Linked DNA regions of Elephas maximus indicus. Each later gene encodes a partner of the first gene's protein in a complex. Links are inferred from orthologs where the notes say so. Each region holds a gene or a part of one and is shown on either strand. Other genes may lie near its edges.

Region 1 (7,362 bases):
CATTGCCTCGTTACATCCACACATGCATGTTATGGTGGATGAGGGTGTTCTATGCTTTTTCTACTACATTATCCTCACTGCCTGATAGCCTCACAAACCAAGTCCTTTAAGACTTGCATCATATTTTTACACTTTCTCAGTGCCAGGTACAGTCTATTCAATCAGGTCTCTGATCCCCATGGATTAGAGTGTTTACATGAGGGAAAGAGATATGTTTGGTCCTTGTAATTATACCTATTTACAATCCTCTGCCAGTGGGCTCAGAATACCTGAATTTGGGGAACAAAGAAAATTGGCAGTGCAGGTCCATCTGCCTTAAAATTAACAGCACTGGAGCCATCCCTAAGATGGCAAGACTTGTAGACCAGGGCCTGACTAATTAGCTCTTAGATATATATTTATGGCTGCCTCTGTGGTCAATAGTATTGATGGCTGTCATTCTTGACAAATAAGCTAAAAGAAAGGGAGTACGTGCCAATTCCATGGCCTATAGTTTCAAAGTTTTCAATTCATCTCTGGTTTCTTGTTATTTCTTACAGGCCTTATTTCCAGATGCCTTCTATCTTATGACAAGCTCTGAAAGTCTGGGTCTGTAATGAATGAGCAGACTGTCTGATCTTTACTGTCTCCCATTCCTCTAGGGGGTGGAAAAGATAATGGAGTGAGGTCTCTCCTCCATTGATTCTTTGCAGTCTCCATAGCACCACTTTTTCAAATCTCTTCAAAAGTGAAGCCAGATGGAGCTCTAGGCTCAGCAATTGGCTAGAGATGAAGGCCAGAGGGGACTTGAGAGGGTCCTCAACTCTCCTCCCAGGTGAAAATTACTCTCCCCAAGGATAGGCAGGAGAAAGAAAAAAGCCTCAAAACTGGCCCCTCCTATCTGCTGTCTCTCCTGGGGGTCCTGCTGGTTGACTAGGTTCACATAGAGAATGTGAAGTTTTCAGCCCATCAGTCCTAGCTCTGGCTGCTAGGAAGAGAGGTATTAGGAAAAGGGAAGGTAGAATAATTAATTCTCTTTATTAAGAAGCCCCCATGGGCTGTGCTGTGGCAGGTTTTACCACGCTAAAGCAGTGATGAGCTAGGCGTGGGCTGTGAATTTTAAAGCAGAGCATGCATCTCTTAAGAGTTGTGCAGATTATGCCCCCATCCCCCAGAAATTCCAAAATCAAGTAGCTTAGGCCTTGAGCCAGGGCCTTTTTTTGAAATTCAAACCAGTTTGATTCTACTAAACTAGTGGGTCTCTGTTGGGAAGAGTTTGGCCCCAGGGGACATTTGGCAATGTCTGAAGACTTTTTTGTTGTCACAGAGAGAGCAGGTGCTGCTGGCATCTAGTGAGCAGAAGCCAGGGATGTTGCTAAACATTCTACAATGCACAGAACAGCTCCCCACAGCAAAGAATTATCCAGCCCAAAATGTCAACAGTACAGAAATTAAGAAGCCATATGTTTAACATGGAGAAATGAAACATACAAAAATGAGCAAGACTTGGCCCTACTCTCAAGGAGTTTATATATCCAGGTTTGCGGGGGTGGGATGATAGAGGAGTGGGGGGTGGGAAAAGAAAAAGGAAACGGGTGGGTACAATAAGGAGATGCTGGGGAGCAGGGAAAGAAAAGAACCCAGATAGCTGTAAGAAGTGCCCCTTCTCAACTCTGCCTTGATCTGTCCCCTACAGACTAGCAGAGGGAAGCATGAGGGAGAGATATGGTTAGGAATGGGTTAGAGTTGTCCCCAAGACATGAGAAGGAAGAGTAATTCTTTTGGTGCCCTTGCTTTGGAGAAAATGTAAGGATTTTCAATCCAGGCAGGATGCCAGCCCAGCCTGAGTGGGTTGAGGAGGGTCAAAGGAAGATTTCCCAGAGGAGGAAGTGATGCCTCCGTAGAACCTTTAAGGAAGGAGTCAACCAAGAGTACAGAAAGTTTCCCTCAGACAGGACAGCATACTCAAAGACACTGAGACAAGAAAGAGTAAGATACCTTGGGAACTGCAAGGAGTAATTGTTCTCAGTGAGTCCTGGTTTCCTCATAAGTAACATTAGGTTAGTGAAAACAACCTATGAGAGAGAGGTATGATATGATACCTAGAAAGTGCCTAGTGCAGGGTCTGGCACAGAGGGCGGTTCAGCTCAGCAGTCCCCCCCACAACCTCTTCCTGGCTGTGGATGGTGATTTGGTGTCACCCATTCTCCTCTGGGGGGTTGTTTGGGGACTCCTATGACCAATCTAGACTGCCCTAGATGTTCACTGTAAGTTGCTTTTTAGGTAAATTCGAAAGAGGGCAGTCCACACAGCCTCAACTGCCCCCACCCCCCACCACGCCCTCCCGGTAACCCCGAGCCTTACGAAGGAGAGGAAAAGGAAGGAAAAGGCTGGGAAGCCAGTGGGGTTAGTGGTTTGATCTCCATTCAGCATTTACTCCCTAACTCACACCATGAGGAAGGCGCCCCAGAACAGCAAGGAAAAGCAGAGAGATGACCAGGAGCAGCCCTCAATTTCCAGAGCGTTCAGCAATCTCTGTAAACTAAAAACGTGACCCCACCCCGCAGCTCCCTAGTCTCCCAGCCAAGCCGTCGCTTCAGGGGAGGGGAGTGATGCGTTCCCTTCAAAAATTTCAGCTTGCAGGGAGGATGAAGGCCGAGATCCTCCTGTTCTGCAGGATCCCCGGCCACCTGGCGGTGCCATGTCTCCCTGCGACAGAAGCGGGATTTGGGACGCTTGCAGGAGCCAGGGTTTGAGGGGCAGGGGTCTGCGATAATGGAAAAGCAGACTGCAGTGCGGCAGGAGACGGAAACTAGGGCTCCCCTAACAGGAAACGAGAAACAGAGATACCCTGCGTGAGCTCAAGGCCCAGAATTCAGGAGGTGGAGCGGGGAGCCAGCCCCCCAGGCTCCGGCTCCCAGCGACGCCGCAGTATCCCTTGAATGAGCCCCACTTCGTCCCAGTCCCTCTCGGAGCCGCCGGACAGCCAATCGAGTCTCGGGGCGGGGCTGCGGCGAGCGGCCTCAGCCAATCGCTGCGGAGGGGCGGGGTCGGGCTCGCAGCGCGCGGCGGCAGGGGCGCCCTAGGCAGAGCGCGCAGGGCGCCGAGCAGGGCGGAATGGAGGAGCCGGCTGTCGCTAGGGCCGGGAGCCCTCCCGCCAACGGCAACAGCAACGGCGGCAAGGCGAAGCAGGCAGCGCCCAAGAGCCAAGAGGCGTTCCGGAGCCAGCGGCGCGAGTCGGAGGTGAGGGGCCGGGGAGACACCGCGGGCGGGACGCGGCGGCTGAGGTGATTTTGCCCGACCCCTCCCCCGCCCCGGGGTCCCAGGCGTCCCGAGAGCCTCGGCCCCTCGCCCCGGTGCTCCGAGACCCTGGGCCCCGGGCCCCGACGCCCCCGGCCCCCAAGACCCCGGGCCCCTCGCCCCGGTGCTCCGAGACCCCGGGCCCCTCGCCCCGGTGCTCCGAGACCCCGGGCCCCTCGCCCCGGCCCCGAGACCCCGGGCCCCTCGCCCCGGTGCTCCGAGACCCCGGGCCCCTCGCCCCGGCCCCGAGACCCCGGCTCCCTGAGGCCCCAGCACCCCGCCCCGGGGCCCCTCGAGGGGCGCCAGCGGGGTTCTAGAGTTCGGGCTCTGCGGCCGGTGACCCCCTCCATATGCCTCCTGCAGCGGGTCGGGGGCTTTCTAGTCTCTGGCCTTCCTCCGGGGCGCGAAGATGTAGCGCGTGGAGAGTACCAGACACTCGTCGATGTTCTCTCAGTCAATCGCTGCAGCCCCTTGAGGGAGGAGCTCCTATTCCCATTTTACTGAGGACAAACCGAGGGAGCTGGTGAAGTGACTGGCCCCACGGCGGGGAGGCTAGAGCTCAGCCTCAGAATAGAGGGGTCGGAGTTGGGGGGCAGTCGCCCCCCTCCTCCAAGGCTCCACAGGGTCCCAGAGCTGGCCTTCCTCTCTGCCTTGTTAGGCTCTTTAGGAGGTGCTGTCCACAAACGTGAGGATCCCCACCTGTAAGGGTTAATCAAGACAGGATTAGGCCAGGCTGTACATGAGTATTTGGATGGAACAGTCCCAGGACTCAAACCCACAGTTAGGAGACTGGGTACTACCTCTTCTCCTGAAAAGAAATCCTAACTAGGAAGATGAAAGAAGTGAATAATTGTCATCCCACCCCCCTTCACCCTGCAAACAGGCCAGTTTTCATCAAATAGGCAAGAGTAGAACTGAATCTGAGCATGGATCAAGCTAATAGAACCACAAAATGTCAGATATAAAAGGGTCTGTAGAGTCATCTGGTGTAGCCCTTTCATTTTACAGATGGAAGAGACAGAAGTGACTTGCCTGAGATCATACATCTGGTGTAATGGCCAGGAGCACCAGCTTCCTGGTCAGTTAGACCAGGGTTTGAATCCTAGCCCTACCCTTTACTATCTGTGTGACTTTTAGCAAATTACCGAGCCACTCTAAGTTCCAGTTTCTTCATCTGTATAATGGAGTTAACACTGTCTACCTCAGAAGGTTGCGATAAAGTTAAAATGAGATAATTGGATGGAAAAAGTTTAAAATCATGCTGGCACGATGTAATTGGTCAGTACGTAGTAGCTCTTAGTACTGTATTACTATCATTGTCATCATCATCACTGCCACCACCACCACGTGGCAGAGGTGGTACTAGAAGCCAGGTCTTTGTCATTTACAGCTAATTATTTGAATAGCACTTTAAAGTTAACAAAATGGTTTTCTGTATGCTTCTGTTTTCCATAATAAGCATAGTAGGAACCCACTCTGTTTTTTTTTTTTTAATAGAAGTGGAGGAAGTGAAAAGACTGGCCCAAAGTCACATCACCTTGCAGAGACAGAGCTTGGTTGTACAGGAGCCCTTTTGCCTTGCTAGGTCAGTGTATTGTCTACCACATTGTCCACCCCCTGCCTCAGAACCAACCTGGCTTTTTTAGGGCACCCTGTGCCTCCTTTCACAGAGACATTTTTCTTGCTGGGAAAAAAAATTTTTTTTTGAGGGGTTAGTTAACTCATTAATGCAACAATTATTGAGTTCTTTTGGCCCTGGTGGCTTAGTGGTTAAGAGCTCGGCTGCCATCCAAAAGGTTAGCAGTTCAAATCCACCAGCCGCTCCTTGAAAACCCTATGGGGCAAGTCTCCTCTGTCCTATAGGGCTGCTAGGAGTCGGCAATGGGTTTGGTTTTGGTTTGGTCTCTATATGCTGGGTATTGTGTTAAGTGCTAGGGATACACCAGTGAACAAGACAAGGTCTTTTGCCCTTGTGGAACAAACAGTAGTGGGGGGAGGCAGATAATATTCAAGGAAAAAAATCAAAATAATTTCAGAGCGATAGGTGCCAGATCGCCCTTCTGAGGTAGGAGCCTCTTCCGTGCATCTCAAGCCTTCCTTCAGCACCAGGCACTGATGGCACTGCATGAGCATACCAGATACTTTACAAATATCATCTCTATTAACTGCTGCAGCCCCTTCAGACAAGAATTCATGTCCCCACTTTGCATGAGCTCCGCACCCAGGGACTCCGAGCCTTCCACCTGCGCCGCAGTTACCTCCTGACTGCCCGCAGCTGCACTTCCCATGCATGCCTGGAAACCAGCAACTGCAGTGATCACCGCTATCTGTGGTCATTGCCTGCCAAAAGGCTGGCTGGGAAGATTAGCTTCCCTCCACTTTCGCTGCAGCAGGAGACCTGCTTCTACCTGTCAGTACCTCCCCTGTCACCACAGCACCCAGGTGCCAGGCTCAGATGACTATCTGTGTTCCCTTCCCTCCTTCTTTTTGCTTTCCTATAGTTTTTTTTTTTATAGAAGATAGTCCTCAGGGAAGATGGTTTTCTTTCCTCCCTTGGGCTTCTCAGTAATTACTAGAAGAGAGTTTCTGATGGCATAAGCCTTGTTCCTTGTACACCGCCGGTTTTACAGGGACACTTTTGGCCTCCTCTCTCCCAGTGGCTTACTGTATGAAAATCTCAGCCTAGAAAGGAAGCTAGACAATAATTGTTTCCTTAGTGAAAAGATTCTTAACCTAACAAAAGGATTCACCGCAGGCCTGTTTGCAACCAGATCCTCTGGTCTACTGGTTCCCAAGGTCCTTGACAAAGTTTGCACTGGTCTATGGCAAAATCAGGAAAATTCGTGGCATGGAAGTGAGTTTTTCAAAAAACGTAGTTCACTGTATTAAATTTAAAGGATGTATACAATTTAAAACAATGTTTTTCAAACTGTGGGAAGCAAGCTGTGAGTTGGGACCAGGATTTTTTTTTTTTTAAGAAATCAAATAAAATAGAACATATCAGAGTAAATCACACATAGAAAGAATAAATATTAAACTTTTGCTCCCGTTTTATATGTGTGTGTGTGTTCAGACTTGATGTAAAATGTATTTATACTTTAAGGTCAAAAAAAAGTTTGAAAAACGCTGCTTTTAATGGTTGTCCTGTATTCTAGGCCTATGTCCTTCCAATTTGGGGGACATTAAAGTATTCTTTCTTTTTGAAATATGTTTTCTGAAAAAATATTTTTAAGTCCCGATGTATCAAAATAAAACATAAATGGCCCTATATCATTCCCTAGTCCCCCAATTTTTTTTTTTTTTTAGTTTTAATTTCTACTGGTTTCTGCAATCCAGAAGTATAGAAGTCTTTGCCGTAGTAGATGTAAACACAATTTGCTTTGTTCACTATGTACAACGGTTTTGGAAAACAACTTTCTGTGAACAAAGAGCCATAAAAATATGCATCAGGTTTGATGTATTAATTCTAAGAACCTATCCTTGGGAAAGATTCTAAATACAGAAAAATTTATAAGTGTATTAAAGCTTTGTGCATGTAGTAAAGGAAAATTAAAAACAACCTAAATGTTCAACAGTAGGGAACTGGTTAAGTACCAATAGGTATCTATCCACTTAACTAACTGTTTAAAGTAATAGTCACATACACAAAAATAAAGTGATAGTCACAATAACATGAGAAAATATCTTTATAAAATGATATTAAAATTGTAAGCAGAATAAGAATAGTTAACTGCTTATATAGTGCTACTAAGTTGTAGGTGATGTTCTAAGTGTTTTTCCTGTATTAACTCATTTAGTCCTTACAATAACCCTATGAAGTAAGTCCTATTATTATCTCCATTTTATAGATGAGAAAACAGGCACAGAGAAGTTAAGTAATTTTCCCAAGATCACACAGCTAGTGTATGACAGAGTTGAGACTCCAAAATTTAAAAAATTATATGTAATATATACTAGCAGGAAATACCCTAAAATGCTTAAAAAATGTAGGGGGTGAAATTATATTAAAAATATTTTTTAAATGGAATTATAAATGTACATAGACAACATCGTAGGAAATCTAGCCTTTAATACAACTTGGAG
Region 2 (7,362 bases), on another chromosome or scaffold:
AAGGCTGATTGCTTTGAGGTAGAAGTCAGACGCACCTCCTCTTGCCAGGCTTTTTACTAATTCTGACACGAACTGTCCTCCCTACTTGGTACTCCCTACTTCCCTGCTGGGTTCAGTTGTAGCAATGGCCATATAGAACTCACAGACCATACTCACAGTTATGGGGTTTATTAGGGAAGTAACGCATTACAATTCAGGTTCACTCAGGATACAGTTCTTCCATCAGGACAGCCTCTCCTCTGCCAGGCTGCAGGCACACCTCTCTCTGGCCCCTCGGCCTCTGGGGCAACTGTTATAAAGCTTTTTTAGCTCTGCCATAAGTGCCTAGAGGTACCCTGCCCCACTGGTAAGCCCTGTGCCCGAAGGTGCTCAGTTTTCTCGCTCTGTGGGCCAGTAAGCTCCCCATGCTTCCTCCTGGTTCTGCTGCCGCCGTTTCTCTGCTGCCGCTTCTCACCGTCTCTCACCATCTCCAGTGTTAGCGCTGTCCCTCTCTGTCCTGGTTCTGCTGCCTCTGTCTTCAGTGCTATAGCTTCTCTCTCTCTCTCTCTCCCCTGTCTCCTCTTTAAGCCTAGGGGATGGCAAAACTGACCAATCCCCTCATTAGGACTCCAGACACCATATTTGCATGGTCCCTCCCCCCCCCAAGGGTGCAGTACACCTTATTTACATTACTAGCAAGCTATCCAATCCCCTTGGTGGGCCACAAGCACCTCATTTGCATAGTCCTCACCCAGTCATTTGGTGCGAGTTACAAAGACTATGGCTAAAACCCCAGTAACATTGAGTCAATTCTGACTCACAGCAACCCTATAGGACAAAGTAGAACTGCCCCAAAGGGTTTCCAAGGTGCACCTAGTGGATTCGAACTGCCGACCTTTTGGTTAGCAGCCATACCTCTTAACCCCTACGCCACCAGGGTTTCTAGACTATAGCTAGAAGGGCCACATTAAGTAATTCACTGCACCACAGGCTGGTGGGGACAGACACTACTCCTTTGACTTGAGCATGGGGCACCTCTAATACCTTCAAACGGTTCTTTTCCAGTTTGGGGTTGTTTCCTCACAGTCGGGCGCAGATCACTACTGCTGGATACTCAAGGGGCTTCCTGCACATCTGTAGAGTTCTCTCCTGTCTCTCTGTCCTGCTAAGTCTAACCACCACCACCTCCTGGACTCTCAACTCTGATCCTCAACCCCAGGCTCCCCTTGGGTTCCCCCTCTTTCAACTGCAGTTTGGTAACTCTCTGCAAGCAGTAAACACACCTCTTGTTTTGTCACGAGGAGCCACTGAGCTTTGTTATCTAGTGTCATTGTCTTGAAAAGCATTGTTTCATGTATCTTGCCATTTATCAATTACCTATCTATCACCAATCTATCAATCAATCAATCACCTATCTATATCCATATATCTTTCGGTTGTTTCCAGCAGGAGGGAAATCTGACCTCTGTTATTCCACTTGGCCAGACACAGAGATCGGTTTTACCTTTTTTAAAGGAAAAGTCAGACGGTTGTTTGCTATCAGCTTTATCGAGATCTAATTCATACATCATAAAATTCACCGTTTTAAAGTGTCCAGGTGCAGACAAGTGGGGTCCTGTTGGGAAGGGGAGACAGTCCTGGTACAGGAGGGGGGTCCAGGGTGCGGGAGGGGTCCAGGGTGCAGGAGGGGGGGTCCAGGGTGCGGACGCGGGGTCCAGGATGCAGGAGGGGGGTCCAGGGTGCGGGGGGGGGTCCAGGGTGCGGGAGGGGGGTCCAGGGTGCGGGAAGGGGGTCCAGGGTGCGGGAGGGGGGTCCAGGGTGCGGACGTGGGGTCCAGGGTGCGGGAGGGGTGTCCAGGGTGCGGAGGGGGGGTCCAGGGTGCGGGAGGGGGGGTCCAGGGTGCGGGAGGGGGGGTCCAGGGTGCGGGAGGGGGGGTCCAGGGTGCGGGAGGGGGGGTCCAGGGTGCGGGAGGGGGGGTCCAGGGTGCGGGAGGGGGGGTCCAGGGTGCGGGAGGGGGGGTCCAGGGTGCGGGAGGGGGGGTCCAGGGTGCGGGAGGGGGGGTCCAGGGTGCGGGAGGGGGGGTCCAGGGTGCGGACGCGGGGTCCAGGGTGCGGACGCGGGGTCCAGGGTGCGGACGCGGGGTCCAGGGTGCGGACGCGGGGTCCAGGGTGCGGACGCGGGGTCCAGGGTGCGGACGTGGGGTCCAGGGTGCGGGAGGAGTGTCCAGGGTGCGGGAGGGGTGTCCAGGGTGCGGACGCGGGGTCCAGGGTGCGGGAGGGGGGTCCAGGGTGCGGACGCGGGGTCCAGGGTGCGGACGCGGGGGGGTCCAGGGTGCGGACGCGGGGGGGTCCAGGGTGCGGACGCGGGGGGGTCCAGGGTGCGGACGCGGGGGGGTCCAGGGTGCGGACGCGGGGGGGTCCAGGGTGCGGACGCGGGGGGGTCCAGGGTGCGGACGCGGGGGGGTCCAGGGTGCGGACGCGGGGGGGTCCAGGGTGCGGACGCGGGGGGGTCCAGGGTGCGGACGCGGGGGGGTCCAGGGTGCGGACGCGGGGGGGTCCAGGGTGCGGACGCGGGGGGGTCCAGGGTGCGGGAGGGGGGTCCAGGGTGCGGGAGGGGGGGTCCAGGGTGCGGGAGGGGGGGTCCAGGGTGCGGGAGGGGGGGTCCAGGGTGCGGGAGGGGGGGGTCCAGGGTGCGGGAGGGGGGGTCCAGGGTGCGGACGCGGGGTCCAGGGTGCGGCCGGCCGGGCAGCGGAGGTGGGGAGCCTGGGCGGGAAGGGCGAGGCCGCCGCGGCCGCCCCCGGGATCCGGTCCAGCTCCGGCTGGGGAGCGGAACGGGCGCGGCCGGGCGCCTTACAAGGCCGGGGGGCGCGCTCCGGGCCAAACGCGACGCCCGACGCGCCGACGCACCGACGCGCCGACGCCCAGACGCGCTGATGCCCGTCGCAGGCCACGCCCCCGCCGTCACGACACCGCCCACCCGCCCCGCGACCTGCCGGGACTTGTAGTCCACTGCGGCTCACGGCGAAGGACTCCAAGCCCCAGCGAGCCGTGCGGCGGGCCTGCTCTCCCCGTCTGCCTTTCCACCCCGCGGCCTGCCGGGACTTGTAGTTTAGCTTGCACGGCGACGGGGCGCGGGCCGAGTGGCGGGACTCTGTTTCCCAGAGAGCCTCGGGCCGGGCCACGACGCCGCCGCCACTGCCGCTGTCTCCGCCGGGCTTTCTCCGGCGCCGCCACTGCCTCTGCTTCGCGGGCTCGGGGCGGCTTCCCGGAGATCAGGGGCTGCGGGTGGGGCCTCCGCGGGCACAACGGAGCGGGCCGGGGGAGGCCGGGATGGAGCCCCCCGGAGGTGGGCCGCTGCCGGGCGGGGCGGCGCCGGGGCGGTTGGGGGTCAGGGGCCCGGGGCTGGGGGCGGCCGGGAGGAAGGTCGCCGGGGGCGGAGGCCGGACAGCGCGAGCGGCTTGCTGTCCCCGCAGTGGACTGAAGCGGCGGCCGGCCCGGAGCTGAGGCGGATCCCGGCGCCTCGTTGGGCTGCGGACGGATGGTGTGACGGCCGCGGGCAGACATGGCTCACCTCAGGGGATTTGCCAACCAGGTATGGGGCGGCCGCCTGGGTGGTGCGTGCGCGCGTCTGTGCAGCCCAGAAGGGGAGTGCACGTGAGCAGGTGTGCGCCCCAGACGGGAGTGCGCGTGAGCAGGTGTGCGCCCCAGACGGGAGTGCGCGTGAGCAGGTGTGCGCCCCAGACGAGAGTGCATGCGTGTGTGCAGCCCAGACGAGAGTGTGTGCGAGTGTGTACGCACGTGTGCGCCCTAGACAGGAGTATGTGTGTGCGTGGATGTGTACCCAGATGAAAGTGTGTGAGCATGTGTGTACCCAGGCAAAAGTGCATGTGTGTGGGTGTGCGCCCCAGATGGGAGTGCGTGTGAGTGGGTGTGCACCCCAGACGAGAGTGCATGAGTGCATGTGCATGTGTGGGTGTGTGCCCCCAGGCAAGTGAGTTTGTGAGTGTGGGTGTGCACCCCAGACGAGCATGTGTGTGTGTGCACGCCTGTGTGTGCCCAGATGAGTGTGTGAGTGTGCATGTGGGGATGTGCATCCTAGATAAGTGTACATGTGAGTGTGTGTGTGTGTGCGGGTGTGTGCCCCCAGATGAGAGTCTGAGCACGTGTGCATGGGTGTACACCCCAGACAAGCATGTGTAGGTGTGTGCCTGCGTGTGCCTCCAGACAAGGTTGTGTGTGTGTGTGTTGAGTATGCACCCCAGACAAGCGTGCATGAGTGTGTGCACCCCCAGACCAGTGTATGAGTGTGCATGCATGGGTGTGCACCCCAGATGAGCGTGCATATGAGTGCATTTGCAGGTGTGTGCCCCAATACGAGTGAGTTTGAGCATGTGTGCATGGCTGTGCATCCCAGATGGACGTGTGTGTAAGTGTGTGCATGTGTGGATGTGCACCCCAGACATGCAGATATATGTGTGCATGCAGGGGTGTGCACCCCCGATGAGTACGAGTATGTACATGAGCGGGTGTGCACCCCAATGAATGCACATATGAGCGTGTGTGTGCACAGTGTGCACCCCCAGAGAGCACTGACTGCTGAGTCTGGGAGGGGTGAGGACCCAGGTACATTTTGCTTGTGTCCCTGAGGGCTTGCCAGAGGGACATGGGTCTGGGTGTGGAGGAGAGGTTCATGGTGAACCCTGTGGCAGGGTCTGTGGGTGGCTCAGACCTGGGGAGACTATTCCATGTACACGCCTTTGTGTGACATAAGCTCTGAGTGTCTTAAAATAGAGCCAGTGGCTCTCTGCGGTTTAGAGAGCAGTGTGGGAGGAGACGCTTTATCTGGGGACGGGGTGCGCCCTCAGGGCTGGGCGGGGCTGGGCACTGGGTGGGGATCCTTTGGGAAACTGGACCTCAGCATCAAGTGAAGTCAGAGGTCAGCATCCATAGGGAGCCTGGGCCTGACCTGCAGTCATCTGGCCATGTTGTGGTCATCTGGCCACGCTGTGGTCATTGGGGCACATTGTGGTCATCTGGCCATGTTGTGGTCATTGGGGCATGTTGTGGTCATCGGGGCACGTTGTGGTTATCTGGCCACATTGTGGTCATCGGGCCACATTGTGGTCATCGGGCCATGTTATGGCGTGGCGGGAGGCAGGGCTAGTACACAGCAGTTTGTGTAGGGAGAACCCTGATAGGTCCTGAGAGGAGCGGGGCTTGACCAGGTGGTCCTTGTGTAAGCATTGGTGCATAGGGAAGACAGGACACGCCTGCGTGCATGTGTGTTTGTGTGCGGATGTGTGTACACATGTGTTCCTTGAGGGAGAGTAGTGAAGAGAAGGCCGCTCTGCAGAGCCGCTAACCAGGCTCGGCGTTTTTCTCTTTTGATTGTTCTTCTCTCACCTCGAGCCACCTTGAGAGTCTAGCATTGCTGTCTGGGAAGTGGCCATCCAACGGCCCACCCCACTGAGTGCCCTGCGTCCAGCCGCTGGTGCTGAGGAGCGTGCGGGGACTGGAGGGCTTGGGCAAGGATGACAGTGGAACAGAGGGAGCCCGTGGTGGCTGTCGTGTTGACTTCATCCTCGCTGATTGGTCTTGTTCTTCTCGACTCGGGGCAAGTTTTTCCGGCTGTGCTTCTTAAAAGTGCAGCCCCCGATGTGTGCTGGGCCAGGGACCGGCGGGAGAAACTGGGAGAATGTCCACGTGGCACAGAAGCTGGAGTCCCAGCTCAGCTCCGGACTCTGTGGGACCTGCCTGAAACCCGCGATGCCAGGGTGGGGCACAGTTGCCGGGCAGGGGATCCTGGACCATTGTGGCCCAGCTGGGGTGTGTAGCTAACGCTGAGTCAAGCCAGCAGAGTCAGGATTTGTCTTTGACGCTCCACGTCTGACAAATGGCCTGATTAAAGATGCTAAGTGGGACAACCCAGCCTCCTCGGGGCATCTTCGTGCCGTGATAGAAGGAGGTGGACGATGTCCTCCGAGTGACAGAGGGTGCAAGCTCAGGGCACCAGCCAGATTTGCTGAGTCACCCCGGGGCTTCGCGGGGTGGGGGCTGCGTGGCGTGGGCAGACCTGTGGGTGGTTTGGTGGGATGCCCCTGAGGGCCCTGAGTGAGCATGATATTCTCACTTCCAGGTGCTGAGAAAGCCCCGATGCCAGTGGGGGGGACCAGTGGAGGGGCCGGCAGGGGTGTCCCAGGCCTGGCCCATGGCTCTGGGGCACTTTCTGAATGGGCGGTTGGTGTCCTTTTAAGTCTGAGGACCAGGGGCACTAGGACTTTCTGTGATGTTTGAACCTGCAAGACTGAAGTGCTTGGGCAGAGTATGGGCAAGCTGGGGCTGATTTTGGGGGACCCCTTGCTAAGGGGTAGAGGGACTGGGGCTCTCTTCGCACAAGAGGGTGGAGGCCACTGTGGGGGCAGAGCAGGGGACCCGTTCTCATGCACTGCCCCCCTCGGCGTCCCTGACCCCATGTGGCAAGTGGTGGGTGGTACCCAGCGCACTCTTGGGCGGAGGGTGGATGCAGGTTCTTTCACAGGAAGGAGTGTGTTGAGGCACCGGGGCTGTCTCGCGGTGGTGTGGGTCTGGCTGTGGAGCTGCTGTCCCAGCCAGGGCATCTGCCTGCGTGCTGGCCGGTCGTGGGTGTGGGATGCGATGGACGTCCTGAGCAGCCCTGCCCCATCTGCTGTGCAGCACTCCCGCGTGGACCCTGAGCAGCTCTTCACCAAGCTCGACCGCATCGGGAAGGGCTCCTTCGGGGAGGTGTACAAGGGCATCGACAACCGCTCCAAGGAGGTAGTGGCCATCAAGATCATCGACCTAGAGGAGGCTGAAGACGAGATCGAGGACATCCAGCAGGAGATCACCGTACTCAGCCAGTGCGACAGCCCCTACATCACGCGCTACTTCGGCTCCTACCTGAAGGTGCCTGTGGGTGGGGGGCTGAGAGGGTCTGCTCAGCATGTGAGCGTGCTGGGACCCCATCTCCCTGGCCTGAGGGTGGTGTTACCCTCTGGGCTCTGCGGGGCCTCTGATGTGAGCACCTGGCATCTTCTGGGTGGCTGGAGCAGGGGCGTGGTGGGAGGGTGCAGGGCCGAGGGGGAGCCCTCTTCCTGTCCTGAGTTCCCTGAGCCCTGGCCGCGGGGATGCACGCCTGGGCGCTGATGGCACCCCTCCCGCGGCAGAGCACCAAGTTGTGGATCATCATGGAGTACCTGGGTGGCGGCTCGGCACTGGACCTGGTGAGGCCGGTCACCCTGGGCCCTGGGACCTGCGGGCAGTGGGGGGGGTGGGGCCGAGGCCCTGTGTCACATCTCCCCGCAGCTGAAGCCAGGCCCCCTGGAGGAAACATACATCGCCACCATCCTGCGGGAGATCCTGAAGG

What was found.
Region 2: STRIP2 (region 1) and STK25 share a complex: the UniProt entries of both Homo sapiens proteins name them as parts of the core of STRIPAK complex. The link is inferred for Elephas maximus indicus from reciprocal best matches to the Homo sapiens genes STRIP2 and STK25.

Annotation. Positions count from the first base shown.
Region 1 is NC_064826.1:20,705,902-20,713,263, reverse strand, and holds the start of STRIP2 (striatin-interacting protein 2), read left to right. Parts: upstream 1-3,057; 5' UTR 3,058-3,096; coding exon 3,097-3,222; intron 3,223-7,362. UniProt on the Homo sapiens protein: Plays a role in the regulation of cell morphology and cytoskeletal organization. Required in the control of cell shape. Calmodulin-binding scaffolding protein which is the center of the striatin-interacting phosphatase and kinase (STRIPAK) complexes.
Region 2 is NC_064824.1:143,369,407-143,376,768, reverse strand, and holds the start of STK25 (serine/threonine-protein kinase 25), read left to right. Parts: upstream 1-3,152; 5' UTR 3,153-3,263; exon of another isoform or gene 3,264-3,324; intron 3,325-3,451; 5' UTR 3,452-3,540; coding exon 3,541-3,570; intron 3,571-6,671; coding exon 6,672-6,902; intron 6,903-7,162; coding exon 7,163-7,219; intron 7,220-7,301; coding exon 7,302-7,362. UniProt on the Homo sapiens protein: Oxidant stress-activated serine/threonine kinase that may play a role in the response to environmental stress.